Linked DNA regions of Diceros bicornis minor. The protein of the gene in region 2 binds, or shares a complex with, the protein of the main gene of each other region. Links are inferred from orthologs where the notes say so. Each region holds a gene or a part of one and is shown on either strand. Other genes may lie near its edges.

Evidence for each region.
Region 1: EXOSC9 (region 2) and EXOSC5 share a complex: the UniProt entries of both Homo sapiens proteins name them as parts of the RNA exosome core complex. The link is inferred for Diceros bicornis minor from reciprocal best matches to the Homo sapiens genes EXOSC9 and EXOSC5.
Region 3: EXOSC9 (region 2) and EXOSC6 share a complex: the UniProt entries of both Homo sapiens proteins name them as parts of the RNA exosome core complex. The link is inferred for Diceros bicornis minor from reciprocal best matches to the Homo sapiens genes EXOSC9 and EXOSC6.

Annotation. Positions count from the first base shown.
Region 1 is NC_080773.1:15,380,319-15,390,868, reverse strand, and holds the start of EXOSC5 (exosome complex component RRP46), read left to right. Parts: upstream 1-6,066; coding exon 6,067-6,198; intron 6,199-6,324; coding exon 6,325-6,565; intron 6,566-10,543; coding exon 10,544-10,550. Other genes in the region: BCKDHA (2-oxoisovalerate dehydrogenase subunit alpha, mitochondrial), read right to left, coding at 5,816-5,986. UniProt on the Homo sapiens protein: Non-catalytic component of the RNA exosome complex which has 3'->5' exoribonuclease activity and participates in a multitude of cellular RNA processing and degradation events.
Region 2 is NC_080750.1:15,123,835-15,134,712, forward strand, and holds the start of EXOSC9 (exosome complex component RRP45), read left to right. Parts: upstream 1-6,718; 5' UTR 6,719-6,804; coding exon 6,805-6,870; intron 6,871-7,210; coding exon 7,211-7,305; intron 7,306-8,066; coding exon 8,067-8,186; intron 8,187-8,302; coding exon 8,303-8,405; intron 8,406-9,645; coding exon 9,646-9,783; intron 9,784-10,878. UniProt on the Homo sapiens protein: Non-catalytic component of the RNA exosome complex which has 3'->5' exoribonuclease activity and participates in a multitude of cellular RNA processing and degradation events.
Region 3 is NC_080771.1:24,926,564-24,937,311, forward strand, and holds the start of EXOSC6 (exosome complex component MTR3), read left to right. Parts: upstream 1-6,410; 5' UTR 6,411-6,442; coding exon 6,443-7,264; 3' UTR 7,265-10,748. Other genes in the region: AARS1 (alanine--tRNA ligase, cytoplasmic), read left to right, coding at 1-56, 1,750-1,858, 2,551-2,664, 3,295-3,414, 3,543-3,629, 4,046-4,159, 4,559-4,744. UniProt on the Homo sapiens protein: Non-catalytic component of the RNA exosome complex which has 3'->5' exoribonuclease activity and participates in a multitude of cellular RNA processing and degradation events.

The DNA.
Region 1 (10,550 bases), on a different chromosome or scaffold from region 2:
AGTCCGCCTGGGGCCAGCCTGGTGGTGCAGCGGTTAAGTTCACGTGCTCTGCTTTGGAGGCCCAGGGTTCGCAGGTTCAGATCCCGGGCGCGGACCAACGCACACTTATCAAGTTATGCTGTGGCGCCGTCCCATGTAAAGTAGAGAAAGATGGGCACAGATGTTACCCCAATCTTCCTCAGCAATAAAGAGGCGGATTGGCAAACAGATGTCAGCTCAGGCTAATCCTCCTCAAAAAAAAAGTCAGTCTGCCTGGGTTCAAATCCCTTGCTGAGCAACCACAGGAAAGTGATTCCCCTCTTCAAGTCTCTCCTTTCTCATCTGTAGAATGGAGAACACCTCATGGAAGTGTTGCGAGGCTTAAACGAGATCTTGTGTATAAAATGGTTAGCAGAGTTCTTGTTAAGTCGTACAGTAAATGCTCAAAAAAATGTTGATTATCATTTCTCCCACCATGTCCCTGCTCTCACCTCTTTACTAGAATGCCTCTTCCCCCATCACCTGGCAAACTGCTCCACACGCTTCGATGCCCTCTCCACTGCCGTCCTAACTCCCTCCACCAGCCCAGACTGACTCACTCAACAAACATTTGAGCACCTGCTTCATTCCAAGCCCTGTGCTGCGTTCTGCGGGACCCAAGAGATGCAGCAGGGAAGACAGATGCTGAATAGGTACCAATGAGGGTGACCCATATTCTCCTAGGAGAAGCCAGGGAAGAGTAGAAAGAGGATCAGGCTTCTCTGAGTAAGTCATGTGACAGCTGAGGCCTGAAGGATGTCTAGGAGTCAGGGAAAGAGCATTCAAGGCCAGGGAACAGAGCACACAAAAGGCACAAAGTGAGGAATGGCGTGTCCCCCGTGGAACCTGGGAGTTCCGAGTGGCTGGAGCAGTCCTGTGGGGAGCTCACATCCCTCGGATCAGAGGAGGCTTGGCTGGCAAAGCCCGGGAGAAGCCTACGTGCTCAACGGATGTGAACCGATTTGCTTTCTTAGCCCTTGAGCTAGCCTTGGACTGGTCTCAGGATTGCAACAGTGCCCCTTGCTTCAGCACTTGCCAGGTGCCAGGCTGAGCTCCGCATGCACAGTTGCACTGAGTGCTCAGAGCACGTCTGTGAGGCAGGCATTCTTTACTACTGCCTTTGAGCAGATAACGAAACTGAGGTTCAGGGAGGTACAGTAACCTGCACCAGGCCACAGAGCTAAAAATAAACAACTAATTAAGTCAGGACTGGGCTTCAAACCTGGGCAGGGCTGACACCCAGACCCCAAACTCACAATCCTAACCCCAAGTGCCACTGCTGGTCAGGTTTCCACACATCTACTTCTTGACTTCCCACCGTCGCCAGTTGGCTCTGAGCTCAGTAATCGCGGCTTCACTTCCCATAGGAGCTAAAGAAGAATGACTGAGGTTTGCCATGAGCTGGGTCTCACGTGTGTGTGCTCAAGTGTGTTCCCCTCCCTCCCACCTTTCATTGCAGTGAAGTAGCCGTCCAAGGTTCCAGCGGGGGAGCGGGAACATGGATGCATTTATGTGCATTTGTGGTTGTGAAGAAATAAAGGAAATTACAGCCCCAACAGCAGGGCAGGCCCAGGCCTGACACCATCACAAGCAGATTCCCCTCCGCCTGCGAGGGAAGCAGTCAAACTCGCAGACCAGGCTTCTCCCTGCAGTGTGCTCACATGGCCGGACCTTTCCATCTACGGGGAGGATCCGTTTGTCCCTGTCTGTCTCTCACACACCTCACAAGCTCCAGGAAGACAGAGATCACGCCCAGGTCACTTTACAGAGCGGGCACTCAGCAGGCCATTACTGAACGAACAGATGAATGAGCGGTTAAGTTCAAGGCTTTGGAGTCCGACTGACCTGGGTTCCAATTTTTTATCTCACTGCATGGCCCTCTGCAAAACACTTTGCCTCTCTGAATGTCCTCATCTGCAAAAAGGCTGCAGAGGGCTGTGGCGAAAAGTTCCTAAGAAAAGGCACACACAGAGTTCAGCATAGACATGGGACATATTATATGCCCAAAAGCTGGTAGAAGGGGAAAAAACAAAATCAAGGAAGGTTTGAAAACGGGAATAAGAAAAATGCCTGGCACCTCAGAAGGAAGAGGGGAAAAGAGGATTGGGGAGAAGGACTGAATGCCCCTCACACTGGATTGTGATTCCAGACTGTGGCCCCAGCAGACACTCTAGAGGGAGACTGAGGCCCAGAGGAGACACAGGCAGAACAGGACGAGGGCTGTGGTCTGGGAAGGGGCTCTAGGAGGGTAGGTCAGGGGATGACATGGGTCAGGACAGGGTCACAGGGCTCAGAACCAACCAGGGTGTCAGGGCAGGACTCTGCCTGTGGAGGCTGCAGAGTTACCGTCAGGGCGCCTTGGCACACCCCACATACAAGTTGGGCCTTGGCTGTACACCTTCTTTCCTGGGCCTGTAGAGATGCCGGTGGTACCCAGCCCAGGATTACCGTGCTGATTCAAGGAGCTAGGGCCCTGAGGAAATGTCCCATTAAGGCAGTGGGTGGTAAAAGGCCTGCAGAGAAAGGATGTGACTCCACCCATCTCTTCTTGTTTTTGGTGGGAGGGTGAGTTTGTCCCACTGGCCAGCGACTTACAATGGCAGAAGCTGTGCAGATTTACACAAAGCATGAAGCCACATCCTCTCCCACTACGCAGGAAACAGGCCTGCTCTGGGTGGTCTGGTAGGCCCAGCAGGTAGTAGTGTGGTCCCTGGTGGAGCCACTCCCCCGGGCGCCAAGGTCAAGGGCAAGGACTCCGAGCAGACCGCACCTCCTGGCTGTGTAACTAAAGCAGCCTGAGCCTCAGTTTCCTTGTGTGTAAACTGAGGGTGATGGGAGTACTTATCTCATTAGGGGTCACGAGGATTATGAGTCGATGTATATAGAGTGCTCAGCCCAGTGCGTGGCACATAAATGCTTGATAAATATAAGTAGCTAACAAGTGTATTTGACAATTATTGTTGTCAAATAGGTAGATAGTGAATATTTGCTCCAAATCAGGCCCTGAACTGAGGGCTGGAGACGACAGGGAGGGACGGATAACAAACACTGAACACACAAGTTACAATTAAGAGAGGCGATCTCAGAGGAAGCAGGATAGTTCAGTAGTTAACCACAGGGCAGGGTAGGATGAAGGACTCTAGTGCTAAACTGCCTATGTTTGAATCCCGGCTCTGTCCCTTTCCAGTTATGTCACCTTGGGCAGGAGACAGTCTCCCTGAACTTGCATCCCCTGGTGGAAAAAATCAGAATTTCTACTTCACAGGCTTTTGGTGAGGCAGGTATAAAGCGCCTGCTGCAGCTCTAGGAGGAACCTTTCACTAGCCAGCATCAGGCGGAGGATGAGGAGAAGCTTCTCAGAGACGGCGGAGTTAAGGCAAGGCCCCACTTGCTTCTAGGGATGATTGCTGAGAAACCCACTCAGGACTCCTTAACAATCGAGTTTTCTTCCTCCTCTTCTCCCTGAGCACTAAAACATCTGCTAGCAACTAGACGGGGGAGGGAGGCAGAAATCAGGCAAATGCCTCCAGGGCATCAGGGTGTTCAGCAAAGGGCATGGGGAAAAGAGGGGCAAGCAGGCAGGGACGCAGTAAGGCAGCCCATCCTTCCTCCCAACCCAGCTTGCCCCAACAACCCAATCTGTCCCACTACACGACAGCCTTCTCACCTTCCCCCAAGACACTATCTCTTGGCTTCACTTTGACTGGCTAACAATGCACCATCCAATATGGCAGCCACAAGCCACCTGCTATTTAAATTTAAACTCACTAAAATTAAATGAAACAAAAACTTCAGTTCCTCAGTGGTACTAGCCACATTTCGAGTGCTCAGTAGCTACCGTACTGGACCATCATTGCAAAAAGTCCTATTGGACAGCCCTGGCCTAAAATCTTCTTTGATCAAATGCTACTACATCTTTCCTCCGCTCAAAAAAAGTATGCCTCTTTTTTAATCTTAGAAAGAATAAGTGGGAGAAATAAAAGTGGAGAAGAAAAAGCAGGGACTTTAATAAATTAAAAATATATAGGTGGCCTAGTGCTTAAGTTCAGCATGCTCCCCTTCGGCAGCCTAGATTCAGTTCCTGGGCGTGAACCTACACCACTCTGTTAGCAGCCATGCTGGGCTGGCGGCCCACATACTAAAAAGTAGAAGAAGATTGGCATGGATGTTGGCTCAGGGTGCATCTTCATCAGCAAAGAAATATATATATAAGCAAAAAGTAAGGACTCTGAAACACCTCCTCCTCTCCCCCACCTTCACCCCAAAAAAATGAAGGAGGGAGGCAAGAAGGAAGGGCAGCAGGGAGACCAGCCTGAAAGGAAGCAGATTTAATCAGCTATAAATGACCTTTCCATACTCCTGCCCCAGTCCGGTCCCGCCCCACTGACCCAGCCAATGGGCTCCTGGGACTGACATCAGCTGTGGAGAATCTGACTGCTCCAAAAAAAAGGGACAGAGAACAACCAAAAGGCAGGAGAATGCTCCACCCCCATCCTGCCCCAGCAACCTGCTGCAAGTTAACACCGGCACTAGATCCTCCCACATATTACTCCTGGCCCATCCTCTTCACCTTCCTGCCCTGTCTCTCTCCCTACCTAGGGCTTCTTCCCAGACTCCATCTTCCCTTCCTTATAAACTGGGGATCAGAGTGTCAGACCCAACCCCACAAGATCTTGACATATTTCCCTCCAGGGCCCTCACCAATCCAGGCCCTCCCAAAGTCACCTCCTTTCTTCACATCTTCAAGGTCGGTTTCTGTCCCTTCCCTCCATCCTCACTTTCAACAGCGGTCAACATTCCTATATCCTTTATCATATATCAGATCCAGTTCTTAGCACTTTATTTAATTTTCACAACAACCCTATGAGGTGGCCACTGTTACCATTTTACAGAGAGAGAAAATTAGGTGCAAAAAGCAGTCCCTTGCCCAAGGCTACACAGCTGGAAAGTGGCCCATTACATATATGAACCCACATGGTCTAGCTTCACAACCCACCTTTTGAACCACTTCTCTCTTACCTGTAAAATTTTAGTTCATAGCTCTCCTGCAGCCCACTGCCTCTCTCCCTCTAAATAAGAGCTTCCAACTAGATTTGTGCTAGGGGAGCTTGCCGATAGCAGCATCAACCTAAAGGGAGTCTCACCCTTTTGACAAGAAACGAGGCATTTTTTAAGTGTTGCTAAGAAATGCGGGCAAAGTCTGGACCTCTCTCCTTTCATTAATTCAACAAATATTTACTGATCTTCTCTTCTGTAGAGTGACCAAAACAGACAAGACCCCTGTCCTGGCATTTATCAGAGAACACAGGATCAAACGATTTTTTTACGCAATTCATTTTAAAATCAGAATTGTAGCCAAGGAGCAAAGAAATACAGGGCACTATAAAAGCCCGTGACGGGGGACCTGGTCTCTCTTTTATCCTCTTTGAAGAGGGGATTTTTACCGAGAAGAAAGTCTCCCCTTTCACTCTCCAACCCCTGCGCGGAAAAGTCTCGTCTTCCTCCCAAGTCCCTCCAAGCGGCCTCCCCGGGGGTTGGGGGGCAACCAAGGAGTAAGTCCCCTTCCTCTCTCCAAGTTGTCTCCCTCCCTCAGGGCCCACAAAGGAGCTGCCTGCTTTTTCTCTCCTGAGGAAGTGGAAGTTCTCTTCCTGAGTGTCCTCTCCGAGTGGTTCTCCCAGCCCTTGTCCCTTCTGTGACAGCCCTGCCTTCCCTCCCTGCAGGGACCCCATACTCTCAAGATAGCGTTGGAATCCATAGTCCTCCTTGTGGAAAACTCCCCAGTGCCCCAGGTACTCACAGATCTAGCCAGCCCCCGAACCCCAGTCCGCCGCAGGAGCAAGAGGCCAGCCTGACCCAAGCCTCGACTTGACCCCCACACACTCGCCGCGGCAGCCGCCACCGCCATCTTGGCTAACAACCCTCGGTGACCCGCCCCTCTCCTCGGAGAGACCGGGGGCTGCCCCTTCATAAATCTGACTCAAATGCCAGTACCACCCTGCCAGCACACCACCTACTACCAGTCCTGCGGTCGCTAGGACACATAGATGGATGGATAAAACAATCTGGCTTCCCAAAATCTACTCTGATCGCCTCATTGTAGCTGTTTCCGTAACAGGCAAACAGGCAAAGAAGAGGACAACCTCACCAGTGCCTCAGGGCTTTAGGGCCCTGGGGCCTCGGGTAGGAGGAGCCCATGCCAAGGCCCGCCCCCTCTTCTCTACTGTCCAATGGTTTTCCTGAAGTTGAGAGGCGGGGTGGGCGGGGTCAGGTTGTTGGTAAACGTGGAGCCACGTGCGGGCGCCAAAGCTCGGGCTCCTGGATCGGCGCGTGCGCACTGAATACGCAGCCAGTACGCAAGCGCTAGCTTTTGGACGGAAGCGACCGTCCGCGCTGCACGTGGGATCCGGGGCGATGCAGACTCACGCCAAGATCCGTAAGGAGTCCGGAACAGAATCCGACCCTCGAGGCCCCGGCTGCAGCCTCCGGCACTTTGCCTGCGAACAGAACCTGCTGTCCCGGCCGGATGGCTCTGCCTCTTTCCTGCAAGGTAAGAACTTAACCCAGTAAATACTGCCCGGGCCGTGTTCCCTCAAGTCATAATTGTTTTGGGGCGCGGCTGCAGTGTACCATGCAAAGGAGTGCCCTCCTCCTCCTATACTAGCTGGTAAATGTCCCTCCTGGACTGGCACACAACTTCATGCCTGGCTGGATACTACCAGGTACGCCAGGGTACATATATCTCTTCCGACTAGAAGGAAGAAGATATTTCCATTCCGGTAAATAACTCTTCAGAATGAGAGCGGGGCAGACCTTTCCATAAGAATGAATACTTTAGAATAGGGAAAATTTCACCGGAGTAAATATCCCCTTTGACTAGATTCCTTCGTCTCCCACACGCACACCCTGAGTCCACACATCCCAGGCTGAGGCAAACCTGTCCAGTTGCATAAATACCCGGTAGACTGACCAGTCACCACTACCGGCTTAATTACTTCCCAGACCGTGGCAGATCTTTTACCCCAGTAAATACTTTTCAGATTGAGGGTAATGTCCCCACCCCACCAATTGGGTAAATATCCCTTTGACTAGGATACACATCTCTCCATGTGAGTAAATATCGCTAGATTGGGGCAGGTCTTACTTATTGAGTAAGTATCCCCTTCTTGTAGCTAAATACCCCTCAAACTAGACTCCACTCCCTGACTGAGATAAATATTGCCCTGGAGATAAGCCTAAGGATAACCCCCATGGATGCTTCAGTCCCCTCACTAGGGCATTACCTTCTACCCAGTACAAAGCTCGTCTCATTCATTTCTTCACTGAACATGTACATATTTGTGCTAAGTACTGTTCTAGGCAGGGAGAATACATGATAAAAAATTTTTTTTTAATCCCTGACCTAATGGAGTTTACATTGTAGTCAAGAAGACAGACAATAACTAAGTAAAATGCCATGGGGAAAAATTAGGAGGGAAGGGGAATAGAGTGTGCCAGAGAGGGTTGCAATCTTGCACAGGATGGTCAGGAGAGGCCGCAATGAGATGGTAATATTTGAATAAAGACCTAAAGGTAACGGAGCAAACCCTGAAGATATCAGGAGGGAAAGCACACCAAAGCATGGGGAACAGCAAGGGCAAAGGCCCTGAGGCAAGAACTTGCCTGGTATGTTTGAGGAAGTCAGGAGACCACCGTGGCTAGAGCAGTGGGAGGAGGTTTTGGAGACAGGTAAGGAGGCTTGTACATCACAGAAGGCCTAGTGAATGCCATGGGAGCCATGTGACATGGTCTGAGTATATTTTAATAGAATCTCTCTGGCTGCGGTGTTGACTGTAGATGGTATGGAGGAAAGGGGGAGATGATGGTGGCTCAGACCAGAGTGGAAGCACTGGACGTGGTAAGATTCTGGGGTTATTTTGAAGGTAAAACCAACAAAATTTGCAGGTGGTTTGGTTTTGGGGTATGAGAAGAAAGGGATAACGCTAAGGTTTTTCCCCAGATCAGCTGTGCTGGGGGAAGGTGAGTTCAGTTTGGAACATTAAGTTTGCAGTGCCTAGTAGATATCACAGTGGCAATGCGGACTGGGCAGTTGGACATACAAGTCTGGAATTCAGAAGAAAGACCCAATCTGGACATGTAATTCGGAATCCTCTGGCTTTAGATAGTATTTCAGGCTATTGATTGGATGAAATCACCAAGAAAATGAGTATAGATAGAAAAGAGAAGAGGTTGCAGGACTAAACCCTGGGTCTTCTAACATGTGAGGAGCTAGCAAGGTAGGAGGAAAACCGAGAGAGGGTGGTAACTTGGGGCCCAGAGAATGTGTTTGAGATGTAAGGGCCGACCAACTGCATCGTCAGTCCTACTGAGAGGTTGCATCACGTGAGGATGGAATAGACCCATGGGTTGACAATTTGGAGGTCACTGGTGACGCCATCAAGAGCTGCTCCAGTGGAGTGGTGGGGTCGAAGAAGGGAAGAAGAGAGCCAGTGGAGACAGCTCTTCCAGAGCTTTGCTGTAAGATGATCATATAGGTGGGGCAGGAGTTGAAGATGGATGTGGGTCCAAAGAGGAAAGAATTGCTCAAGAACGTGAGAGGGGAGGGTGGTCCTATGCTCAGGTGGACCACAGACAGCTCGTCTGGAGTAACAGGAATGAAGCCCCCAGCAGGATCTAGTTCTGCTTGGGTAATTTCCCCCTTTAGGGCAGATTCTCCAGGAGCCATGAGAATTCCTCAGTTGTGTGGCAGCTCCTCCTTCCAAGCCCCAGGAAAAACAGCTCCGACCCAGGCCCTCCCCCAGGCTTAGCTCTCTTGCTAAATTCAGATGCCTGGAGTTTCTTAGAACTTAAGAAATAAGGAGAAAGGTAGCCCCTTGCATGTTGTAAAACCGCAAAGCCCCAGGACCCTGGAGCAAGAGGAGTCCTTGCAGATCCTCAAGAGTATGTCCCTTGTGTGCTTCTGGCCTCAGGACCTCTGGTGAGCTTGTTAAAAATGCAGCACCCCAGAACCCACCCCACGCCTACCAAGGCTCACCCTCCACATTTTTCACTGCTTGGTGATTCTGATTGCAGGCCAGTGTTCTGAAGCTGTGCTAGAGCTGCAGAGTGTAGGCCCAGCTGCAGATTAGGATGACCTCTGACGCTCCCAGTGCCTGAGCCCCACCCCTGAGCAAGTGAATTCGGATCTCTCACGGAGGGGCCTAGGCATCAGCATCTTTTCAGGCTTCGCAGTGATTCCAGTGTGCAGCCAGGGTTGAGAACCACTGTGTTAGTGGGTTGCAACCAGCATTCTTTTTATCTGGAATAGAGTAGAAAATATCAGAGTGTAGCAAAGCAGTGATGATAAGAGCTGTTTTGTGAGCGCTCTGTTCCATTTACACACACACGGATTTGCGTGAGTTTTGGGACTTGCTGTAAAATGTATTTCTTATTGGGAGTTATTGTGGTCTAGTGGTTAAAATTCAGCACTCTCACCGCTGCGGCCCGGGGTTTATGTCCTAGTCAGGGAACCACGCCACCCGTCTGTCTGGCGGTTGTCATCCTGTGGCAGTTGTGTGTTGCTGTGATGATGAAAGCTATGCCACTGGGATTTCAAATACCAGCAGAGTCACCCATGGTGGGCAGGTTTCAGAAGAGCTTCCAGACTAGACAGACTAGGAAGAAGGATCTGCCCAGCCACATCCGAAAAAACTGGCCATGAAAACCCTATGAATAGCAGCAGAGCATTGTCTGATACAGTGCCAGAAGGCGAGAGGATGGCTCAAAAAGACAGAGAAGGTCCACTCTGCCGTCCACAGGGTCACTAGGAGTCGGAATTGACTTGATGGTACTAACAGTAACAAATTGGGAGTTATAGTCAGAAAAGTTTGGAAGCCGCTGCTGTAATCAGTCTCGTCATTTTGCAAATGGTAGAGAAGTGAGCAAAATCAGCTGAGGTTACAGAGCCAGTAGGAGGCAGACAGGACCAGAAGCGAGGCCTTTATTTCCCGGGTCTTACCTTCTTTGCCCCCGTTCATTCCCACTCTGGGAAAATAAGCAGGAGTCAGGACCCACCCCCAGATATTTGTCCCTTTTTCAGGTGTCCTGATTGCTGCAGAGTTGGAGACAAGAGCCTGAAGGAAGAGAGCTGGGTTGAGAGAAGCTTTGGAAGGAAAAGTTGAGACCAGTGCAGTAAGAGGGAGGAAGGTTAGCTCTCAGGAAGAACTTCCCATAAAGTTAATATCAGCTAAAGTCTGTTGTGCACTCAGCATGTACCAGGCAGTGTCATAAGTGTTTACATGGATGGTCTCATTTAATCCTCACAACACTGAAGGAGGTACTGTTGTTATGCCCACTTTACAGATGAGGAAGCAGGGGCAGACAAGTGAAGCGAGTACTCAAAGAATCACTGCCAACAAATAGTGGGCTGGAGTGGGGGTGACGTGGGGAACCCCAGCCATCCAGCTCAGTGCCCACACTGTTAAGTACCACGCATTGGGCCCCAGAGGCAGGGAAGATGTGGGTGAGGCCTCCCATGCTGTCTCCCCAGGGGATAC
Region 2 (10,878 bases):
TCTGATTCAGTAAGTCTGGGGTAGGACCTGAGAATTTGCATCAACTGACACCCTGCTGCTGCTGATGCTGCTGGTTAGTGGATCACATTCAAAAATTGCAAGAATTTTGATGGTTTTTAGAGATGAAGTCTGCTCAGTAGACATTTTGGAATTTATAAAGGAGGAGTTTGGGACCAGCAATCTGGATGAAAAGGGCTAAGGAACTTCTCGGAAGACCGTGTTTGCTTGGCAAGTATACTGTGAGCTTAGAAAGAGAGTTCATTTAGATGTTTTGGGGTGATGGAGACTATGAGAAGGGCCTAAGCAAACTAGCAGACTATATTTTGTCTTGTTTTCAGAGAGTTTTAACAATGTTTGGATCCCTTTAGACAGGGCATGTGCTGTGTGGGTCACCACAGTCCCCCTTATTTCCTATAGTCCTATAACTGACCAATTTCACTCATTTATAATCTGCCTAGACCCTGAAGTCATTTGACTTTGCAAGCACTGTACCAGTTGATCTTTCAGATCCCATATAGCTTTAAAATTATGAGATGTTATCTGTAGACTTCCCCTCTTGTGCCAGAGAGGAAGTTCCTACTAACACAGAAAAGAGCCATTGCCACCCAGTATATTCATCTTCATATCCTCATACTTTAATGAGGAATTTTCAGGTAAAGATCACTTCATCACTACTATAAGTTTCCACAAGAATATAATTTATGATGAACACAGACATCTTCCTTTAAGAAAACTTGATATATAAAACTAGAGATAGAAATTATACATAAGTGAATATATAGGCACATTATAATAGTTTAGGATTGCCAGATTTAGTAAAAACAAAAAAAATACAGGATGCCCAGTTACATTTAAATTTCAGATAAACAAATCATTTTTTTGTATAAGTATGTCCCATTCAACATTTGGGACAAATTGGACATAATTACACTAAAAAAATTATTTGTTGTTTATCTGAAATTCAGTTGTAACTTAGCATCCTGTATTTTATCTGGCAATCTGTATTAGTTTCCCATTGCTGCTGTAACAAATTACCACAAACTTAAATGGCTCAAAGCAACACAAATTTATTATCTTACAGTTCTGGAGGGCAGAAGTCTAAAACGTGTCCTCAACGCTACCTTCATTTTGGAAGCGCTAGGAGAGAATCCATTTCCTTGCCTTTTCCAGCTTGCAGAGGCTGCCTACATTCCTTAGCTCATGGCCCCTTCCTCTGTTTTCAAAGCCAGCAGTATAGCATCTTCTCTCCTCTCTGACTTCTGCTTCTGCTGTCTCATTCGTTCACCCCTCTCTCCCTTCTTCCCTGCCTCCCTCCCCCTCTCTCCTTCCTTCCTTCCCCACTTCCATCCCTCTGAACCTAACTCTACTGCCTTTGTATTATAAGCACCCTTGTGATTACACTGGGCCCACCTGGATAGTCTCGCCATCTCAAAATCCTTAATCATATCTGCAAAATAACTTTTGCTATACAAGGTAACATATCTACAGGCTCCTAGGACTGGGATGAGGACATCTCAGGGGAGGAGGCATTATTCTGCCTACACACACCCCATAATAGTTGAGTTACAAGTTTAACCCAGTTAACAAACTCTACTTTTATTATTTTATTGTTTCTAATTCTATTTATTTGTAGAAATCTCATTGGCATGGAAATTTTCTGGATCATATTTATTGTTTAGACATTAAACTATATAATTTCCTACAGATTTTTATCAATGAGCAGGAAACTTCTTTTTACAGATGAGAATAGATCAAAGGACTTCAGTCATGTGCCTGAGATAGAGCCATGTGCCTAATTTTCTGTGTCCAGGATTATTACCCACATGTAACAACAGTCCGAATGCAGTGGAAATCAAAATGTCACCTGACTCTCTTCCCCCCTCACTTTGTTGTACTTATGATAAGCTAAAGACTGATAATTTTTATTCCTCTAAATATATAGGAAAAGCTTAATAATGACATGAGAGATCATTATATAGATTTCTGAGCATAGGAAACGATAAGAATGAAAAGGGAAGCTCTTTTAACTATTCAGGAGAAACTAGAGATGAACTTGATAATCTAGGGTTTCTTATTTATAATACGAAGAAAACAATATGGAAGGGAAATATATACTACATCTAACTTGTTAGTGTTCCGTTGTTGTCTTAGTCCATTTGCGCTGCCAAAACCAAAAGAACACAGAATGGGTAGCTTATAAACAATATCAATTTATTTCTCAGTTCTGGAGGCTGAAAGCCCGAGATCGGGGTGTCGGCATGGTTGGGTGAGGGCTCTCCTCCAAGTCGCAGACTTCTTGTGGTATCTTCTTATAGTGGAAGGGGCCAGGGAGCTCTGTGGGGTCTCTTTTATAAGAGCACCAATCCCATTCATGAGGGCTCCACTCTCATGACCTAATCACCTCCCAAAGGCCCCACCTTCTAACACCATCACCTTTGGGGGTTTAGGATGTCAACATATGAATTTGGGGGGGACACAAACATTCAGACTATAGCAGTTGTCAACGCTTAAAATCTTTTCACTTATTAACTATGTGGTTTCCAGTTTGAGTCTTGAAAAACAACAAAACAAATGTCTTTGTTAAAAGGTAGCTGAGGGCCGGCCCCGTGGCTTAGTTGTTAAGTACGCGTGCCCCACTACTGGTGGCCTGGGTTCGGATCCCGGGCGTGCACCCACACACCGCTTCTCCGGCCATGCTGAGGCCGTGTCCCACATACAGCAACTAGAAGGATGTGCAACTATGACATACAACTATCTACTAGGGCTTTGGGGAAAAAAAAGGAGGAGGATTGGCAATAGATGTTAGCTCAGAGCCAGTCTTCCTCAGCAAAAAGAGGAGGATTAGCACGGATGTTAGCTCAGGGCTGATCTTCCTCACAAAAAAAAAAAGGTAGTTGAAAGCCAAAATTCCTTTAAATAAAAAAACAGTTAAATGTGTCAGAACAAGAAAAGGAAACTGTAACTATTTATTTATTTGAGATAACATTGGTTTATCACATATAAATTTCAGGTGTACATCATTATATTTCAATTTCTGTGTAGACTACATTGTGTTCACCACGCAAAGACTAATTATCATCCATCACCATCCACATGTACCCTTTTACTCCTTTTGCCCTCCCCCCTTCCCCTCTGGTAACCACCAATCTAATCTCTATATCTGTGTGTTTTTGTTGTTGTTGTTTTTATTTTCTCATTATGAGTGAAATCATACGGTATTTGATTTTCTCCATCTGACTTATTTCACTTAGCATATTAACCTCGAGGTCCATCCACATTGTCACAAATGGCAAGATTTCATCTATTTTTATGGCTGAGTAGTATTCCATTGTGTACACCTATGTATATACCTATATATACACACACATATATATACGCATACATATATATACACCTGTATATATGTATATACCACATCTTTATCCATTCATCCATTGATGGGCACTTATGTTGTTTCCAAGTGTTGGTTATTGCGAATAATGCTGCAATGACATAAGGGTGCAAATATCTTTTCAAATTAGTTTTTTTTTTCACTTTTCTGATGATAAAAGCTATTCATGTGCCTTACAGAAGATTTAAGAAATTCATAGAGAAAAAAAATTCAAAAAGAAAAAAAATTTTCCCACAATCCCATCACCCAGATATAACTATCTTAACATTTTGCACTATTTCTTTGCAGGATAATTTCTGGAAAATCAATTTCTATATAGACAAATTGTACAGCAGACATAGTACATGGTAACTAAAACGTAAGCTTCCATTTATTCATCCATCCATTAATTTCTTTCACCAGACATGTTGTAATAGTCCATTCATGCATTTATTCACAAGGTACACTACCAGTCTCAGTGGGTGCTATAAAGGTTAATAAGACATGGATCTTTATACTCTAGTAGAAGTGTATTTAGTCAGGATTCTTTTGGACACACTTAACAAAAGACCAACCCAAATGTATTGGCTCACCAACTGGGAAGTCCATGAGCTGTTGCAAACTATTTCTACTAAGGGGTCCACTTCTCTCTCTGATTTCTCAGTTCTGCTGGCCTCTGACTTCATCTTCAAACAGGTTCTCTCCATGTGGTGGCAAGATGGCCCCTGACAGTTCCAGACTTGCATGGTCCTTAGAGTTTATAATCCTAGAGAAGTAAAGACCTACTCTCTCCCAGAATTTACATGTCAAGACTGATGGAGAAACTCTGTTTGGCCCTGCCTGGATGAACAGTCAATGAGGAGAGAGGGATAGAGTTCCATGATCAGCAGGGCCTCGTCACACCTGTGCCTGCTATTAACATTAACACCAGAATCACGTGGGGTCAGGAAATGGCATTTCTCCAAGAAACAGAAGGGTGCTGGTCAGACAAAGTAATAGATGTCCAATAAAGAGGAGAGAAGACATATACTCAAATATTTTTTTAAAAACCAGGTTATATTTAGACAGATCATCCAGGGTAATAGGCTGACTCAAACTGATTCTTTTCTAAGAACAGAATGTACATTATCTGAATCTCTTCTCAAACTTCAAAACTTTTTTTTACCCTTGAAAGCATAAAACAAAGGTCCCTTGGGTGTTTCAAAAGTTTCTTAGTAAAAACAAGGTTGTGAAGTAAATTCATCTTATGTTGATACATAGATGTGAGTGGAGATGGGTTGTACACCTTTGGATGAACGCCAATGAAAGGCAAATGCAGCCGTGTTAAAATTACAATAGTATAACACATAAAGTAGCAAAGAACGGTGGAAATTCTACAAAAGCGGAAGGAAAGCAAAGGCAAGGGAATCAAGCAGCAATCTCAGAACAGCAATCTGACATGGCGAATTTGGGCAGTTTCACCGGAAGCCTTTGCCAAGCCAAAATAGGAAGGAAACTAACATTTGAACAGCTATCCTGTCCAAAATATGGTGTTAGATGCTTTCATTCAGACCACTTAACACTTATTATTCCCAACCTAAAGATACAGAAGCCGAAATTCAAAAGAATTATTTAACTCACCCAAAGTCCATTTAAGCTGAAATTTATCTGAAGCCAAAGTCCATTCTTTTTCCACTCCCAAGCTGCCGCCCAGGAAAGGACAGACTATTTCAATAAAGGCCTATTTAATTTCTGAAGGAAATGCCCACTAAGAGAACCCAAGGATTGAAACGACAAACTTAGCCAGGAGTTCTGTTGTGAAACTGTACTATAAACACGAACCCATGTTGTTAAAGGACTTACATGGCCTGGACCACGTAATCCCCTGGCCTATTTTGAAAATCAATCAACTGCAAAAGCACAGACATAATTTCTGTACACTCTCCTCCTTCACAACCCCTGTCTCCAGACCATGTCGAGCTCATCCTATCTCAGTCTTGGCTCATGTGGCTCCTTCTGCCTGAAAGTTTTCCTTTCTTCCAGATGGTATCACGGCACTCCTTCTCATCAGTAAGGATTTACTTAACTCAAATTTCACCTCTACCAAGCGACCTCTTCCTGCAACCACCCCTATTAAAATCGCATTCCCGTTCCCAGATAGGACTCAGTGTGTGAAACTTTTATTTATTTGTTTAGGTTTTTATTGTTTGTCTTCTCCAAAAAGAATATAAATTCCTTGAGGGACAGGATGTTGTTCACTCTCTGTTTCTCCAGCATTTGAATTATTCTTGGGACACAGGAGGCCCTCACAAATAATCTAAGTAATTTATTGAACGCATGGATTGCGAGCGGTACAAACTGAAACTACAATGTATCACTGGTAGGAAAAAAACCTGCGAGAAGAGACAAAAGAAGCGGAATGGAGCCTGTGCAGGAGTTACAGTGCCTATCACCTCTAAATCAAATGGAAACAAAATAATAATATGCAAACACTTTAAATAGCGCTTACTCCATGCCAGGCACCGTTTTAAGCATCTTACATGTATTAACTCGTTTTTATCCTCATAATAATAGGTTTATCACTCCTGTTTTGCAGATGAATAAAGTGAAGCACATAGGCTAACTTGGCCAAGGTCACAGAACTGGGAAGGGCAGTCAGAATTTGAACCCGGGTATTCGGAGTTCCTGCTTGTAACTACTCGATACCGCCTCTCCAAAAAAGCCCAGCGGTTGACAGCACTGACACACTAAGGTTCCTCTATGCCCATAAAAATAAGTCTATCGGCTTAAAACAACTGGAGAGACCGTAAGAAATAAAGAGCGAATTTTGTTTCAGCCAATGCCAGTTATATCATTAGTTACAAAGCGGGACTATTCTCAGTTCTTGGCAACTTCTCAGGTCTACCAGATTTCACCGTCAGCCCGCAACAACACCCCAGCTGACTCTCAACTGGCTTCTCCCCTCTCCTGTCCGCTCAAGCCGCTTCATTCCACCGTTTCCGCACTGAATCTGCTCCCAACTCCGCCTCCGCAGCTTTCTCGTGGCCTAACCTCAACTCCCGCACCTGGAAAAGAGCAGTAATGCCCGTCTAGCCTACCCCGCTAGGACTGCGGAGAGGGTGAAGTGTGAGCGCGCTACAGTGACATTAATTTCTATCACTGATGGTTATTTTGGGGTCTTTTTCTCCCCTACACTTTACGACAAGACATACAGATTTCCGTTCAGAAACTCGCCTCCCCACGCCGCTTTTTCCTCCCAGCCAGCTCACCCTCCTCCATCCTCTCTTTGAGCCTGCGCACTAGCGACGGCCCCCCACCTGTGCTTTCCCAGCTCAGCCGCCGCGCTTTGATGATGTAAATCTCCTGCGCCGCCAAGCGACTCGGGCGCGCGTGTACAGCCTCAGGTTCAGTTTTCCCACCGATTCCGGTGCCCGTGGGCCCCGTGACCCGACGGCATGAAGGAGACGCCACTTTCAAACTGCGAGCGCCGCTTCCTACTCCGCGCCATCGAAGAGAAGAAGGTAAACGGCCGCGGGGAACTTGGCGCTGCGTGGGCGCTCGGGTCGCGCGGCCGCCCGCAGCCTTCCGGCTGGGACGCACAGGCCGGGCCCGCGCAGGCCCGGGAGCCCCGGGGGAACCGGCAGTGCGTTTCCCCGATCCCCAAGGCTGTGTTTGGCTCCGGTGGGTTCTTTCAAGGCTCAGGTCACCCCAGCGACTGTCAGCGCCCGGGCACCTAGTTCCCACTTTCCTGTGGGGGGTGGTTGGGATCCCACTTTCCTCCAAGTGTGTAGCCCAGGGCACGAAGTGGCTGCTCAGTAAATATTTGCTAAAGGAGTAAATGAATGAACGTTGTGCTTGCAGCGGCTGGATGGCAGACAAACCTATGATTATAGGAACATCAAGATCTCGTTTGGAACAGATTATGGGTGCTGTATTGTGGAACTTGGGAAAACAAGGTAACAAAGGATTCAAATTAGATATAAGCTCAGTAGGGAGACGTTTAAAAGAACCTTATAGGCTCAGTTGTTTACCCAGCAGCTAAGAAGTCTGGGCAGTACTTTGTTTACCTGCCAAAAATAAGCATATTTTCTTTAATGCAAGATTTTTTTTTGTTTTATAGTCACTTTAAATTTCTAATCATAAATATGTTTTCTGTCACATGAGTAGGGCATAGTTCTTTCTGATCTCTATAAATCATATATACACCCAGCAGTGATTGCACTGAATTTGTTTCCTACACTTCTTGTCATTAGATAGCTCCTGCTTTCCTCTTTTTCCTGAGTGACATGAGATTTAGGTTTTTAATATTCATTTGGAATTTGTGAGGATATTGCTTAGATAATGTTCGAGAACCATGCCATATGAAAACTCTTCAGAAGTCTGAAGTTTTCATGCCATCTATTATCAGTAAATATTTGTTTTAAAAAAGAGAAGTAAATGCTATTGGTTTTTTTAGAACAATCTGTGGAATAGTCAATACTGTAATAAGAGATGTTTTTTCCCGTCATCCCTTTGGGTATGCCAGTGTGAGTTTTATTTCTGTATATATTCTATGACGATACTTTATATGTAATTTCAATCTCTAATGATATATCATGCTGAGTATGTTATTACTCAGAGTAAGATTGAATCTTAATTGGTATCTGATTTAGATTTTTTTTTTTTTAATTGGAAAGGAAATATATGTAGTTAACAGATTTGTACTTTATCTTTGCAGAGTCCTTGGACAGGTTTCCTGTGAACTTGTTTCTCCAAAACTCAATAGGGCGACCGAAGGTATTCTTTTTTTTAACCTTGAACTCTCTCAGATGGCTGCCCCAGCTTTTGAACCTGGCAGGTATTTAAGTCTTTTTCTTAAGCTGCTTTAGCCAGAAGAGAACCTAACAGCAGTGAGCTAGTGTTTTAATGCCAGGTGTTATATTTCATGACATTAGCCCATTCCTATTTTCATAGGCAGTCAGATCTCTTGGTGAAGTTGAATCGACTCTTGGAAAGATGTCTACGAAATTCGAAGTGTATAGACACTGAATCACTCTGTGTTGTTGCTGGTGAAAAGGTGAGGAACATGCCCAGAATGCTTTTTTTTGTGTGTGTGAGGAAGATCAGCCCTGAGCTAACATCCATGCTAATCCTCCTCTTTTTGCTGAGGAAGACTGGCCCTGAGCTAACATCTATTGCCAATCTTCCTCCTTTTTTTCCCCCCTTTTCTCCCCAAAGCCCCAGTAGATAGTTGTATGTCATAGTTGCACATCCTTCTAGCTGCTGTATGTGGGACGCCGCCTCAGCATGGCTGGACAAGCGGTGCGTCGGTGCGCGCCCGGGATCCGAACCCGGGCCACCAGTGGCGGAGCGCACGCACTTAACCGCTAAGCCACGGGGCCAGACCCCAGAATTCTTAATCTTAGGATGAGCATTGTTGATTCATGGATCCCTCTATGTATGCCTTCATTCTCAGAGCTTCAGTTAATTCTGTTTTATACTGGTCCATTTCACTTCAGATGTTCCTCACTGCTGCCCGTAGAACTTTGTATTGTCTCTCTCTGAAGGGACAAAAAACATTGGTGAAAATAGTAACTTGGATTTGTGTAAAAATGTCTTATTCCAAGCACTTGTGGTTTTTCATATATTCTCATTTATTTTCTTATATTATTTAAGTGAGTTGTTAGAAGTGAGTAATGTTTTCCTTCTTTATGGACAACAAACTGAAGAACAGATTAAATCCTTCATTTGGATATTGACTTATATAGGTCCACACAGTGAGTCAATGGTCGTCGGAATAGGAAATATTACTCTCCATAAATTGTGCTGCATGATGATATTAGAACTTTATTCTGGAATAGGGTATTTGACCGTCTTTTTGACTCCAGAAAAGCTACTTACTTAACCTTTCCACATTCTGTACTTGAATATGTTACTTCCTATTTGCATTACTTGTAAGGTTAGCATAAATACTGTCAAGTAAAACCTAAGAGTTTGAGTTTTTTAAGTTAGGAAACAATAAAAATATAATTAGGCTTGGAATTAGGGAAATCTTAGTATTAAATGTAGAGTGGTTCTGTTTATTTAGAGTATATATTTTACTGTTGTCAAATGACTCATAGAAAGGTGAACTATTGGTAATTCAGATGTTGGTCTTGCTTAACATTTTTCTAAATACATTTTTAATTTTACGATAGAAGGAGTAACTGCATATTTTAACAGCAAGAGAAAAATTTGCACACAGTGTTACTTTTCCTTGTAAATAGCCACTGGTTATGATAAGTAAGGATTTATTTTTGTTTTAAATTCACAATCAGGTTTGGCAAATACGTGTGGACCTACATTTATTAAATCATGACGGAAATATTATTGATGCTGCCAGCATTGCTGCGATTGTAGCCTTGTGTCACTTCCGAAGACCTGATGTCTCCGTCCAAGGAGATGAAGTCACACTGGTAAGCTCCCATGTTGTGAGCCGGGCTCATTCCTGTGATGAAGCCTGGCAAGCAACGTGTTATTAGTGAGGTCTTGTAGATGGCAATTAGGTATGTTCTAAGATTTGTTCATAAGGCAGAAACTGCATGTGGTCGAAATTGCCCTTGGAATCTCTTAAATCTCCTGAATGGAAGTGTCTGTCAATGAAAGCACTCCTTAGCCTGGTTTTCTAGAATAGAACTAGATGACTTCTTCTTTGGATTGAGCACTTAGATGAAGTACTTGTCTTATATTTAGGGGCCACTTTGTGAAAAATACATTGATTCTAAGCACAGTGAGATGCTTATTCTTACTCTGTGGCAAAAGTCCATCAGAAACACCTGGAAGGCTTGTTGAACCATATGGCTAGGCTCCACCCTCAGAGTATAGGGATAGGACCTACGAATTTGTACTTCTAACAGAGTTCCCTGGTGATACTGATGATGCTGGTGCAAGGAGCGCATTTTGAAAACTATTGACCTATACTGTTTACATCGTCTTTCTCTTTTGTGCTGAGTATGTCAGTTTATATAAATTACACGCTAGAATAATGAAAGTGCACCGTGGTGATAGTTTGAGACCTGAAGTTGCAAAAGGAAACATCAGATGCCCAAATTCTCTAAGCAGTCATTCATGATGCTGCTTTTAGGCATTAGACTGGAACAGACTCTTTAAAGACTTTCAGACAGAGACAGAGGTTTATTAACAATAGAGACATCTTCCTTTAGAGAAGGGAGTTGGTATAAGGAAGTAAAAAAGTAGAGAGCAATTAATAGACAAAAAAAGATATCAATTAAAAAATACTGTTGAGTTATTACTGGCAGTAATGTAAAATGGTACAGCCACATTGGAAAATTTTGGCAGTTTCTTAAAAAGTTAAGTCTTAACTTATACAGCCCAGCATTCCGTGCCTGGGAATCTGCTCAGGAAGAATGAAAGTGTATGTTCACTCAAAGACTTATGTGAATGTTCATAGCAGAATTATTTGTAATAGCCCAAAACCAGAAACAGTTCAAAGGTGCATCAACTGGGGAATGGAAAAACAAAATGTGGTATATCCTTACCATGGAAGACTA
Region 3 (10,748 bases), on a different chromosome or scaffold from region 2:
GATGACCCCTCTGGTCCTGCTGGCTCCCTCACTTCTGTTGAGTTCTGTGGGGGAACGTGAGTACCTTGGGGAGCAGTAAACAGGGTCATGTGTCTTTTATTAATTTGGCATTACCCTTGGGGGATGTGTGTAATAGGCTAGAACAACTCTCATTTTTCTAAGGTTGAAATGAAGTTCTCAGAAATGCAGTTGCCAAACAATATTCCCAAGGATCTTAGCATCCTAGTGCTCCAATCAGACCCCTTAGGGTCTGACATTCCATTTCCTGGGTTTGTGATGAAATGTTCTTCCTAGGAGAGGTTGAAAAAGCTTATCTTAACATCACATAATTGCATGCTCTTGTTCCCTGGGCTGATCCCAACAAGAGGGCCTATGAGTTCAGGATTCAGCAAGGCTGTGGAGTGCTTATCAAGCTTCTGATCTGGTCCTAGCCCCTTTGCATTCCTAGGGCTTCACTTAGCTCCCTTTGCCAGCTTGAGCCGCATCTGGGCAATTCACCCTTTTCTCAGAGCCCCTGAGTCAGGCCACACAGTAGACCCAGTTCACTTGGGTTTGGCGGAGCCACTGGTTTCTGCCAATTGAGATACCTCTATAGCCCTTGGGGTCTTTTTTTTTTTTTGTGAGGGAGATCAGCCCTGAGCTAACATCCTTGCTAATCCTCTTTTTGCTGAGGAAGACTGGCTCTGAGCTAACATCTATTGCCAATCCTCTTCCTTTTTTCCCCAAAGCCCCAGTAGATAGTTGTATGTCATAGTTGCACATCCTTCTAGTTGCTGTATGTGGGACGCGGCCTCAGCATGGCTAGAGAAGTGGTGCGTCGGTGCACGCCCGGGATCCGAACCCGGGCCACCAGTAGCGGAGCGTGCGCACTTAACTGCTAAGCCACCGGGCCGGCCCCCTTGGGGTTTTTTTGAGACAGTCATGGTGGCCTGGGAAGTTCCAGCTTCCAAAAGAAGCTTGGTGAAAAGAATATTGTTAAGGCCATGGTAGAGCCGTTTCAGGGCCTCCTGAGGCCTCAGGCAAGCAGGGAATGGGTGGGCATGTGGAGGGTTGGGTAGGGATCTGGGAGATCACATTCCAGGCCTCCCTCTGCCCAGCTAAATTGGCCTTCAAATGAGTCCCACTTCTGCCTTAATATCTCTTTACATGACACTCTTTAGAGCACAGGAAACAGCTTTCAAAGACTATACCACCTTCACAGAATCACTGTGAGAGTTAATGAGCATTTGAGGTTCTCTGAGCAACTGGAGAATAAAACCTGTTTGTTTAGGGGGTTGTGGTAAGATTTTAAAGGTAATCTCCAATATTCTCAGCCAGTGAGCAGGGATAGAAGAATATAGCTTTTGTTCTACCAAAGACAAAAATGTGAATGAATGTAGAGGCTGCCAGTAGTAATATTGTATGGGGTATTAGGGATTACAAAGCACTTTCATTTGATCTCGTTTGATTTTCACATCTGTCCTGTGAGTGAGAATTATCCCCATTTTATACCTGAGAAAACGGAGGCTCAGAAAGGTTGTGTCTTGCTCAGTGTCACAATGCTCTCAGCCCCAGGCCTTCTCTGACTCTCTTCCCCTTCCTAGCCAGAGCTGTATTCTGAAATTCCATTTTCCCACTGTCCCTGGGGAAGCTTCCCTGGGAGCAACTACTTCACAGGGCTTGTGCCCCCTAGCCAAGGGCTCCCAGGCTGCGGTAGGAGGCCAGGGCCCTGGGCTTCCTCATCACCATGGACTTTGTGTTCTGCATCAGGCACCTGCAGAATTCAAGTCATGCGGGAGCTTTTGTGATTGTGAGTGAAGAAGCTATTGCCAAGGGCATCCGGAGGATTGTTGCTGTCACAGGTGCCGAAGCCCAGAAGGTGAGCAGATCAGGCTGGTTTGTGGCTTATTTGAACAAGGGAAGAGGAGCCCAGTCTGCAAGTCCATAGTGCAGACAGTTATGTGGCTGCTGCAGTCAGAACTGCAAGTACAGTACTACCCTCGAAATATCCTCAGTTACCCCCACCTGGCAGGAGAAAGCCACCACCACACAAGACTTCCGAGCTATCTTATGTTTAATCTTTAAAAATATATGTAAATTCTGCCATCTATTCCATAATATATCCTTGTGTAGGAGGGTCAGCCATAGTTTTGCTGTGGCTTCCGCTGCCCCTAGCACTCACCCACATCTCCCTAGGGGTACGTGCCTAATTTGAGATGCGTGGAGGACAGAATCAGTTGCTCCAGGGGTGGGGACTATGGCCTGTGCCTGATGCGTGCCGAAGCCTGAAGGGGGGTGATTTCATGGGGTAAGAAGGGCTCCTGACTCACAAGTTCTCGGTCACTCCCTGAACCTGAGTTAGTGCAGCCTTTCTGCTGACCAGGCGTGAGGTAGGTGCCTGGGGCATGAGGCTGCCAACACTTGCTCTCTGAAAGAAGAGAAGCTTCTCATGTCCTGGGGTGTGTTGTTCTGTAGCCTGCCATTAGTGCTTGCCACAGTTGTTTACAGACAGAATAGTGAGCTGAAAGTTACCTGACCTGGACTTGACAACGCTGATTATCCCTCTCGCAGGCCCTCAGGAAAGCAGAGAGCTTGAAGAAATCTCTCTCTGTCATGGAAGCCAAAGTGAAAGCCCAGACTGCGCCCAACAAGGACGTGCAGAGGGAGATTGCTGACCTGGGTGAGGTAGGGGCAGCCTCCCTCTCTCCCTCCTGAGTCCTCTGAGTGCCGGGTCCTAGGTCTGATGAATCAGAAATTCCCTGTTCTTGAGGAACTCTCAGGTCCTGATTCTCACTGCAGTGGGCCTTTGGACTGACTGCTGTTGTCCTGCAGCCTTGCAAAGGGGACTCCATGGATCCTGGCCTATGGACCCCTGAAACCTCCTGCTACCCCCCATTACCGATGGCAGGAGAGCCCATTCCAAGCATGAGTGGGCACCGGTATAGAGAGTTGGGGGAGGTGCCGTGGGTGCCCACTGTTTCCAGGCCTCATGGTGTTTGTTAATATTCAGGGGCTTCCTGTTAGCCCATCAAAGGCTGTGTTCACTGCCTGCTAGGGGCCAGGTTTTATAGGGGATCCCAGCTCTCTTTATTCTGCCCCTTTCTCTCTACCCCTTGTTAAAACTATTGCAGTTGCTCATGAAGTGACTGCTCTCAAGGCCAGTGGGTACCTTTTTCTTCTCTGTTTTCTCTCTCCTTCTGGATACTAGTCAGGGAGGACTCTGGTATTCAAAGCCAAAGGCATGGAGTGGGCTGAAGCCTCACATCCTTGCTCCTTGTGGTCCAGAACCCAGTGGTATTCTCGTTCTGGTTCCAGGCCCTGGCCACCGCAGTCCTCCCCCAGTGGCAGAAGGATGAATTCCGGGATAATCTCAAATCCCTGAAGAAGATCATGGATGACCTAGACCGGGCTAGCAAAGCTGATGTCCAGAAGCGAGTGAGTCCTGGCAGTGCTGGTGGCTGGAAGGGAGGATTTACCCAGCAAAGGCTATGCAGACTGCTCTCTGGGTGTCGGAGTCTGGGCCTGTGACCTGAGGCCTCTCTTCTGGACTTCCTTCCTTGCAGGTGTTGGAGAAGACAAAGCAGCTCATTGACAGCAACCCCAACCAGCCCCTTGTCATCTTGGAGATGGAGAGCGGTGCCTCGGCCAAGGCAACCTAGGGGCTGGGGCTCCAGACACCGCTCTGCGCCTGTCCACTGCTTGTCGCCTTTTCTCAGGGTCTCATCAGCCCTCTGGTGGCTGAAGTGTGAGCTTTTGTGGCTCTGAGCGGAGTGGCTGCCTGAGGGCCCACTCTGGGATTGAGGTCAGGCCGAGCCCTGGAGAGATCTGGTGGCTGGAGAGCTATGGCTCCTGGAGGTAGAAGGCAAACCTCAGAGGCAGAGCGTGGGCAAGGCCTGTACTTGGGTCCTTCTCCATACAGGCTCCTGGGCCCAGCACCTGCTCTTAGAAGGGGGTGGGCGTGAGGGGTGGGGGGTGCTCTGAGAACTGAGCTCCGCAAACTCGCTGCACTTGTGGAGAGCATGACTCCTCCCCAGGGCCATGGTCTGACACCAGGTTCTCCCCGCAGGCCCTGAATGAAGCCTTGAAACTCTTCAAGACACATTCCCCTCAGACGTCTGCCATGCTCTTCACAGTGGATAATGAAGCTGGCAGGATCACGTGCTTGTGTCAAGTCCCCCAGGTCAGAATGCCCCGCAGCCTTGTGCCAGTGGGAAGTGGTGTCTGTAGCTTTTCTGAGGGAGCTTGGTTTTTCTTACCGTTGTTTGCCAAGACCCGTGTATGTTTGTGCAAGCCCTGTTACACATGCCCACCTGTGTGTCACCTTCTCCGGCATCCCTTACCCTGAGGCCCTCTTCTTGGTGGATATGTTTAACTGTGTTGGCTGCTACCTGGCTTTGCCATTCAGTATGCCTCGTCCTGGCTGTGGTACCAGCTGTAGGATCTGTGTCAATGTTGGCAGCATCACCTAGCACAGTAGTGGGTGTCTGTCTACCCCATCCTTTTGCTTTCTCTCACCTCTCCATGTCTCCCTTAATCCTGTCCTCTGCCCTGACTCCCACATCCCCTTCCTGTCTTCCAGAATGCAGCCAATCGGGGTCTGAAAGCCAGTGAGTGGGTGCAGCAGGTGTCAGGCCTGATGGATGGCAAAGGTGGTGGCAAGGATGTGTCTGCTCAGGCCACAGGCAAGAACGTGGGCTGCCTGCAGGAGGCGCTGCAGCTGGCCACTTCCTTTGCCCAGCTCCGTCTGGGAGATGTAAAGAACTGATGGGGGGGACAGCTTCCACTGGGAAGCGTTTCCCCTTCACTTAGGTGCATCCGTCCAGCCAGGAGCTCTCCCTCCACCACAAGGACATTTGAATCTTGGGATCTTTAAACAGCGCCATCTGTCTTCCTAACCCAGCAGTAACTGGAACTTACCTAGGAGCCGGCCTGTGACTCCATGCTCACATTACATTTCTGCCCTGAGCCCTCCATGTCAGCGCCATCTGTCTAGAACCACTACTCCAGGATTGCTATTTATCATTGTCATGCTCGTGTCTATAGATAGTTTTCCGTAGACCTGAGGCTCTGGGTCTGCAGGGAGGAATCATTTTTACTGCAAAGAATAAAAGGACCATGTGCAATACTTGATGATGCTGTGTGATCTCTAACCCCCTGCCACCGCCCCCCCCCCCCCGCCAGCCAATAGGTGCCCCCTGTGTATCAGCGTGGCTCCCTGGGTGTCTGTGGAATAAATGCTGTGGCTCCAGCTGGCTTCTGGTTGCAGTCCTCCGCCTAGCCCAGACCCAGACCCCTGAACTTTGGGAACAGCCCCTGGGATTGCCTCAAGACGTTTGTGGAGGTGGCCCTCAGGACAGGTGGGGTCAGGTGGAGAGAAACATTAATCGTTCAACAGAAGATGATCCCCAGGGTTACTGGAAGCAGAGAGAGGCTCCTTTCTTGGAACCTCTCCATTTCTTAGGCCTGTGTCCCTCTTCTTCTTCCTTTTGATGTTGAGGTCGGGTGTGAGGCCAGAGGCGTTCTCTGGTACAGGAGGTACTGGGGTGCATTAGTTGCCTCCCTTCCATTGACTGCCCCATCATTCCTAGTTCTTTGACCCAAACATGGACAGTGAGCATGAGACCCTGCCCTGGCCCTGAGTGCATTCACCCAAGTCTGAAGACAGTGGGTTTGGAGACAGTAGTTTGAGGGGAGGTTAAAGGTACCGCTTGCCTGTGCCAGCTCTGGCTGATTTCATGTCCCCGGGGTAGAACAGGCCAGCCCTGGGGCCCAGGGTCCCTCTCAGCCCTGCTGATGTGGAGGGAGAAGGAAAGGCAGGTCTATGCTGGGAGCAGCAGCAGAGAGCAGCTGTCACAGGCAGGCCTGGAGGTGAGGGGCTGTCCTCACTTGGAGTGTGAAAGAAGCAGGCAGGGGGAGGCGCAAGCAACGAGCCACATGAGGAGCGTTAGCGATACAAAGAGCTTACACAGTCCACTGCGGGAGACAGTTCCATTCACTCATTCACCAGGCATTTATGCCAGCAAGAGCACTGAGGATACAGGAGTGAACAAGACAAAAGGTCATTGCCCTCTTGGGCAAGGCAGTGGGGGACACACATAAAATGGTCACACAAATAAGAGCAAAATTAAAATAATTACAACCTTTACAAGTGATAGGAAAAAGACCTACGCCCTGGGATTGCCCTAGCCCGGGAGGCTAGAGGTCAGCCGGGCCGGCCCAGGTCCCACTACGGCAGGCCTGCCAGTCCATTCATCCATCAATCCATTCAGCTCTGGGCGTCCTTGCTGCGGCCCCGTGGCTCGGCAGCTCTCGCCGTTCTCCCTCCAGGACGGCAGGGGGCGGGCGGCACAGCCCGCCGGTATCCCGACAGCCCTGGCGCGGGCGCGCGGCTTTAAGAGGGCGGAAGAGCCGGCGCGCGAGGCCGGGCCGACGGGCGGAAGCGGCGTGGGTGCCAGCCGTCGCCATGCCCGGGGACCATCGTCGCATCCGCGGGCCCGAAGAGTCGCAGCCGCCGCAGCTCTACGCAGCCGACGAGGACGAGGCGCCCGCCGCCCGCGACCCGACGCGACTGCGGCCCGTGTACGCGCGCGCCGGGTTGCTGAGCCAGGCCAAGGGCTCGGCCTACTTGGAGGCGGGGGGCACCAAGGTGCTGTGCGCCGTGTCTGGTCCGCGCCAGGCCGAGGGCGGCGAGCGCGGCGGCGGCCCGGCCGGAGCGGGTGGTGAGGCCCCAGCCGCGCTGCGCGGCCGCCTGCTCTGCGACTTCCGCCGCGCGCCCTTCGCGGGCCGCCGGCGCCGCGCGCCGCCGGGCGGTGGCGAAGAGCGCGAGCTGGCGCTGGCCCTGCAGGAGGCACTTGAGCCGGCCGTGCGCCTGGGTCGCTACCCGCGCGCGCAGCTCGAGGTGTCGGCGCTGCTGCTGGAGGACGGCGGCTCGGCCCTGGCCGCCGCGCTCACGGCCGCCGCGCTCGCCCTGGCCGACGCGGGCGTGGAGATGTACGATCTGGTGGTGGGCTGCGGCCTGAGCCGCGCGCCGGGGCCCGCGCCCACCTGGCTGCTGGACCCCACGCGGCTCGAGGAGGAGCGCGCCGCCGCCGGCCTCACGGTGGCGCTCATGCCCGTGCTCAACCAGGTGGCCGGGCTCCTGGGCAGCGGGGAGGGCGGCCCGACCGAGAGCTGGGCCGAGGCCGTGCGCCTGGGCCTCGAGGGCTGCCAGCGCCTCTACCCCGTCTTGCAGCAGTGCTTGGTGCGGGCCGCCCGCCGGAGGGACGCTTCCACGGCACCGTCGTGAACTAGAAGCCTAAGCAATGACGGACGCCGTGGACTGAGCTGCCGCCGTCCCCGAAAGGACCTGCGCCGTCGGCTTCCACACTGCGCCGAGCTGAGAACTCGGAGCACGGGAGAGGATCTGGGGAGGTGCGCACAGAACTGATGCTCTGGACAGCTGTGTTGGAACGATTTTTTACAAGCTGTTCCGTTAAAGACACTCTCTACTTGAGCTGGTTCCCATCTACGACCCAGTTGAAGAAATCTGCGATGCAGCCTGACTCCCAAGTTGGAAAAGACTTCAGCTGGACTTAATCTGGAAAACGGGACCTGGAGCTATGGTCTTGTAAGGGGTGGACCTTATGCAGGCCAGCCAGTGACTCCTGCCTGTATAATTGGGCTGCTTTTGAGAGAATGGACAAGGGGGCTGTGAATTCTCACTTATATCTGAGCTAAAACAAAACAAAAACCGTTTTATATCTGAAAAAATCTTTTGTGGTTCTTCTTGGTACAGGATTTAAAGGAGCAAGGCTTTTCTGAGCTGGATAGTTTGTTCTTGGACCTCTGGTGTCAAGGGCTTGGGACAGCATTGTCTTAAATGTGTCCTGTCCCTTAGACTAACACGAGCAGAAGAGACAGGCTGAAAAGGTTGATGCAGGGAAATGTATTTTGGAGGAGGAGAAGCTGCCCCTCAAGTGCCAGAGTTGGGCCACTGCTGAGGTGTGACAAGAGTGGGGAGGGTTGTATGGCCCCAGGAGAGCTCCAGGTGCACCCCTCTAGCCTCTGGTTTGGTGCTGGGCAAGACTACAGCTCAGGGTTGGGTAGTTGGGAAGGGTTTGGCTCGGGATGGAAGTCAGATCCCACCCTTCCTTGGCCATATGCAGAGCAGCACAGCCTGGGACCTCCTCCACTGGTGGTAAGAAGTGGGAGCCCAGGCTGGCTTCATTATCTGGTGCCCTGTGTCCAGTCTTGGCTCCTGGGAGAGAGCAGATGAACTGCCAGGAGTGAGAGCTTCTGGATGTTGGAAAACCAGATGCAGTCTGGCCATTCTGTAGGGCAGAGCCAGCCTGGCTGACTGACCAGAAGGGTGGGGTTATCTTTGTGTGGCTCCTCAGCCCCTCGGGTTTGTGCTCAGGTCTGGATTGGAGGAAGGCAGGGCAGCTTTGTCCTTGCTCTGCCCCAGCTTGGTATGAGCTGCTGAACTTTGTCTCAGAGGCCTGCTCGGCTTCTCTAGGGAGGGCTGGCCTGGGGCAGCCCCAAGGACCGGAATGAGACTCAGAGACCACACCAAGAACCCCTGACCAGGGAAAAGAAATGCAGATTTTATTTTTCCCCTTCTGATATAATACGTTTCCAGAGCAGACCTGAAATACATAGTATCACAGCAGCAAGGGACAAGGTAGAAACAGGACATAAAAACGATGCCTCTATTCTGAAGCATGGCTTTGTAGGGTGGATGGGGAGTCGGGAACTAAAAGGGGTTATGTGGGGCACATGCCGAGGACCTTAAAACTCAGTTGCAGACTGGAAGGGGGACTGTAGGAACAAGTATATTTCCTCTGCACCACTGGCTGGAGAAAGCTGCCTAGGTCAGCTGCTGTAGGATGCTCCACACCTAGACAGGACTGGCGGGGTCTCAGGAGGGGAGAAGAGCAGCCAAAGCAGTACCTGCAGTCAGAGAGACTGACTGGTGCTCCCAGGGGTCCCTGTCCAGCTGCCCCTTGCAAGACTGGATGAGGATGGTGAGGTGGTTCTAGGCAGTTGCAGGCCTCCTCCCTCCCATCCCTACCAGTCCCCGGGCTATCATCTGGAAACACGACTTCCAAAACTAAAGCCACCCTTGTGGGGAAGCTTCCTGGCTGGTCTGGCTGAGCCGTGCCTCCACTACCATTGCCTTCACTCCAGAATGGGTGACTCCGGTTGCACAGGTGCCATCAGGAGGCCTTTGAAAAACCACACAAGGCAAGGAAGGGGGCCATCGGGGAAGGTGCCTGGAGCTAATGAGCCCGGAGGGATTCCAACCTACTGGCCGCCCTCCTGGTCCGAAGCATGATTCTTCACCTGTAGGAAAAAGAGAAGCAGAGCTTGGGTCAGGGGGGCTGAGAGGCACCGTACGACTGGGAAAGGGAGGGCCATCTACTAACATCTCCCAGTCTCCCCTTACCCCCACCTCCCTTTCTTGGCAGGTTTGGCAGTTCAGTGCTGTTCTAGATTCTTCCTGAGTCCTGGGAACCCAGAACTATCAGACAAAAGAAAGCATTCTCTCCATCTAGCTGTCTTTTTCCAGATGTGACTCTGGGCTGGTCAGTAGTGAGAGCCCTCTGGAACCCAGCAGGCCAAGGGGCAGAGCTGGCGGGTGGAGGAAGGGGAGCTCGTCACTGCCAACCCCCAGCAGCCTGAGCCTTGCTGAGGTGGCCCAAACAGCAGCGGGTCTTGGTCCGCCTCAGGGACCACCAATAGGGAAGGAGGATATGGTAGGACAGGGAACATTCTGGCCCTTTAATGATGCACACAGGGTTATTATTAGATCCAGGTGTGGATATTCTCCATCCAGAAAGGTCTGTGCCACAGCTTCCCTGGGGAGCGTGGTACAATGCAGACAGTCTAAAGACCCTAGGGGCAGCAGGTGGGGGCCCCGGGACAGGAAAAGGACAGAAATCTGAGTTTTAACAAGCTTACCAAGTGATTCTCAGGCAAGGGATCTGGGGCCACGAGGCACACCTGTGACATTCCCTCCACAATGCTCAAAGCCCTCCCCTAACCCCCTCCATCAGGATGAGATGGTATTTCAGCCCAGAACTGGTCCAGCTGAGCTGACCAAGCCTGAGTTGAGAGGGGATAAAAAGCAGGGCAGGGCCCATCTTATCCTGAGCATTGCCTGTGGTTGAAGTCATGCCTCCTCTCCCCCAACCCACCACTGTGGGCTCCCACACAAGTCCGAGTCCCTCCCTGGCCCACAGGGAGGCCACAAGGAGGGGGAAGATGGGAGGAGGTGCCAGGCCACTCACTGCCTCCTCCGGGTCTGTGCTGTCCTCAGAGCTGTGTGCCTCTGGATGGGCCCTCTGGCCCCCGGGCTCCTGCTGGGGCTCAGTGGTTCTGCTTGAGGAACCCTTACTTCCAGGGCCCCTGTTCTCTTCGCTGTTCTCTGTCCCTGTGCAGGGAGAGTAACCAGTCAATGGCTGGGTTTCTGAAGCCCCAGCTAGCTGCTGAGTGGGTGGGGGTGATAGGACAACCCAGAAGCCACAAGAGTCCTCAAGCCACAGGAACAGCCAGAGAGAGTGGGGTAAGTGCACTCCGGGGGGCAGGGAGGATCCCTGCAGACAGGAAAAGCAGAGGCAGGACCCTGAGCACCCTTGGCACCCTCAGGAGTAGGAAAAGCTGGAGCCTGCTAAGAGCGTGGCCTGGGCCCACACTCGTGGGTGCCTGACCTGGACGCTGCTCCCTCTGCTGGTCCATGTGCTCCAGACTCTCCAATAGGTGGTCCACTTGGGCTTTGATCTGGCTCAGCT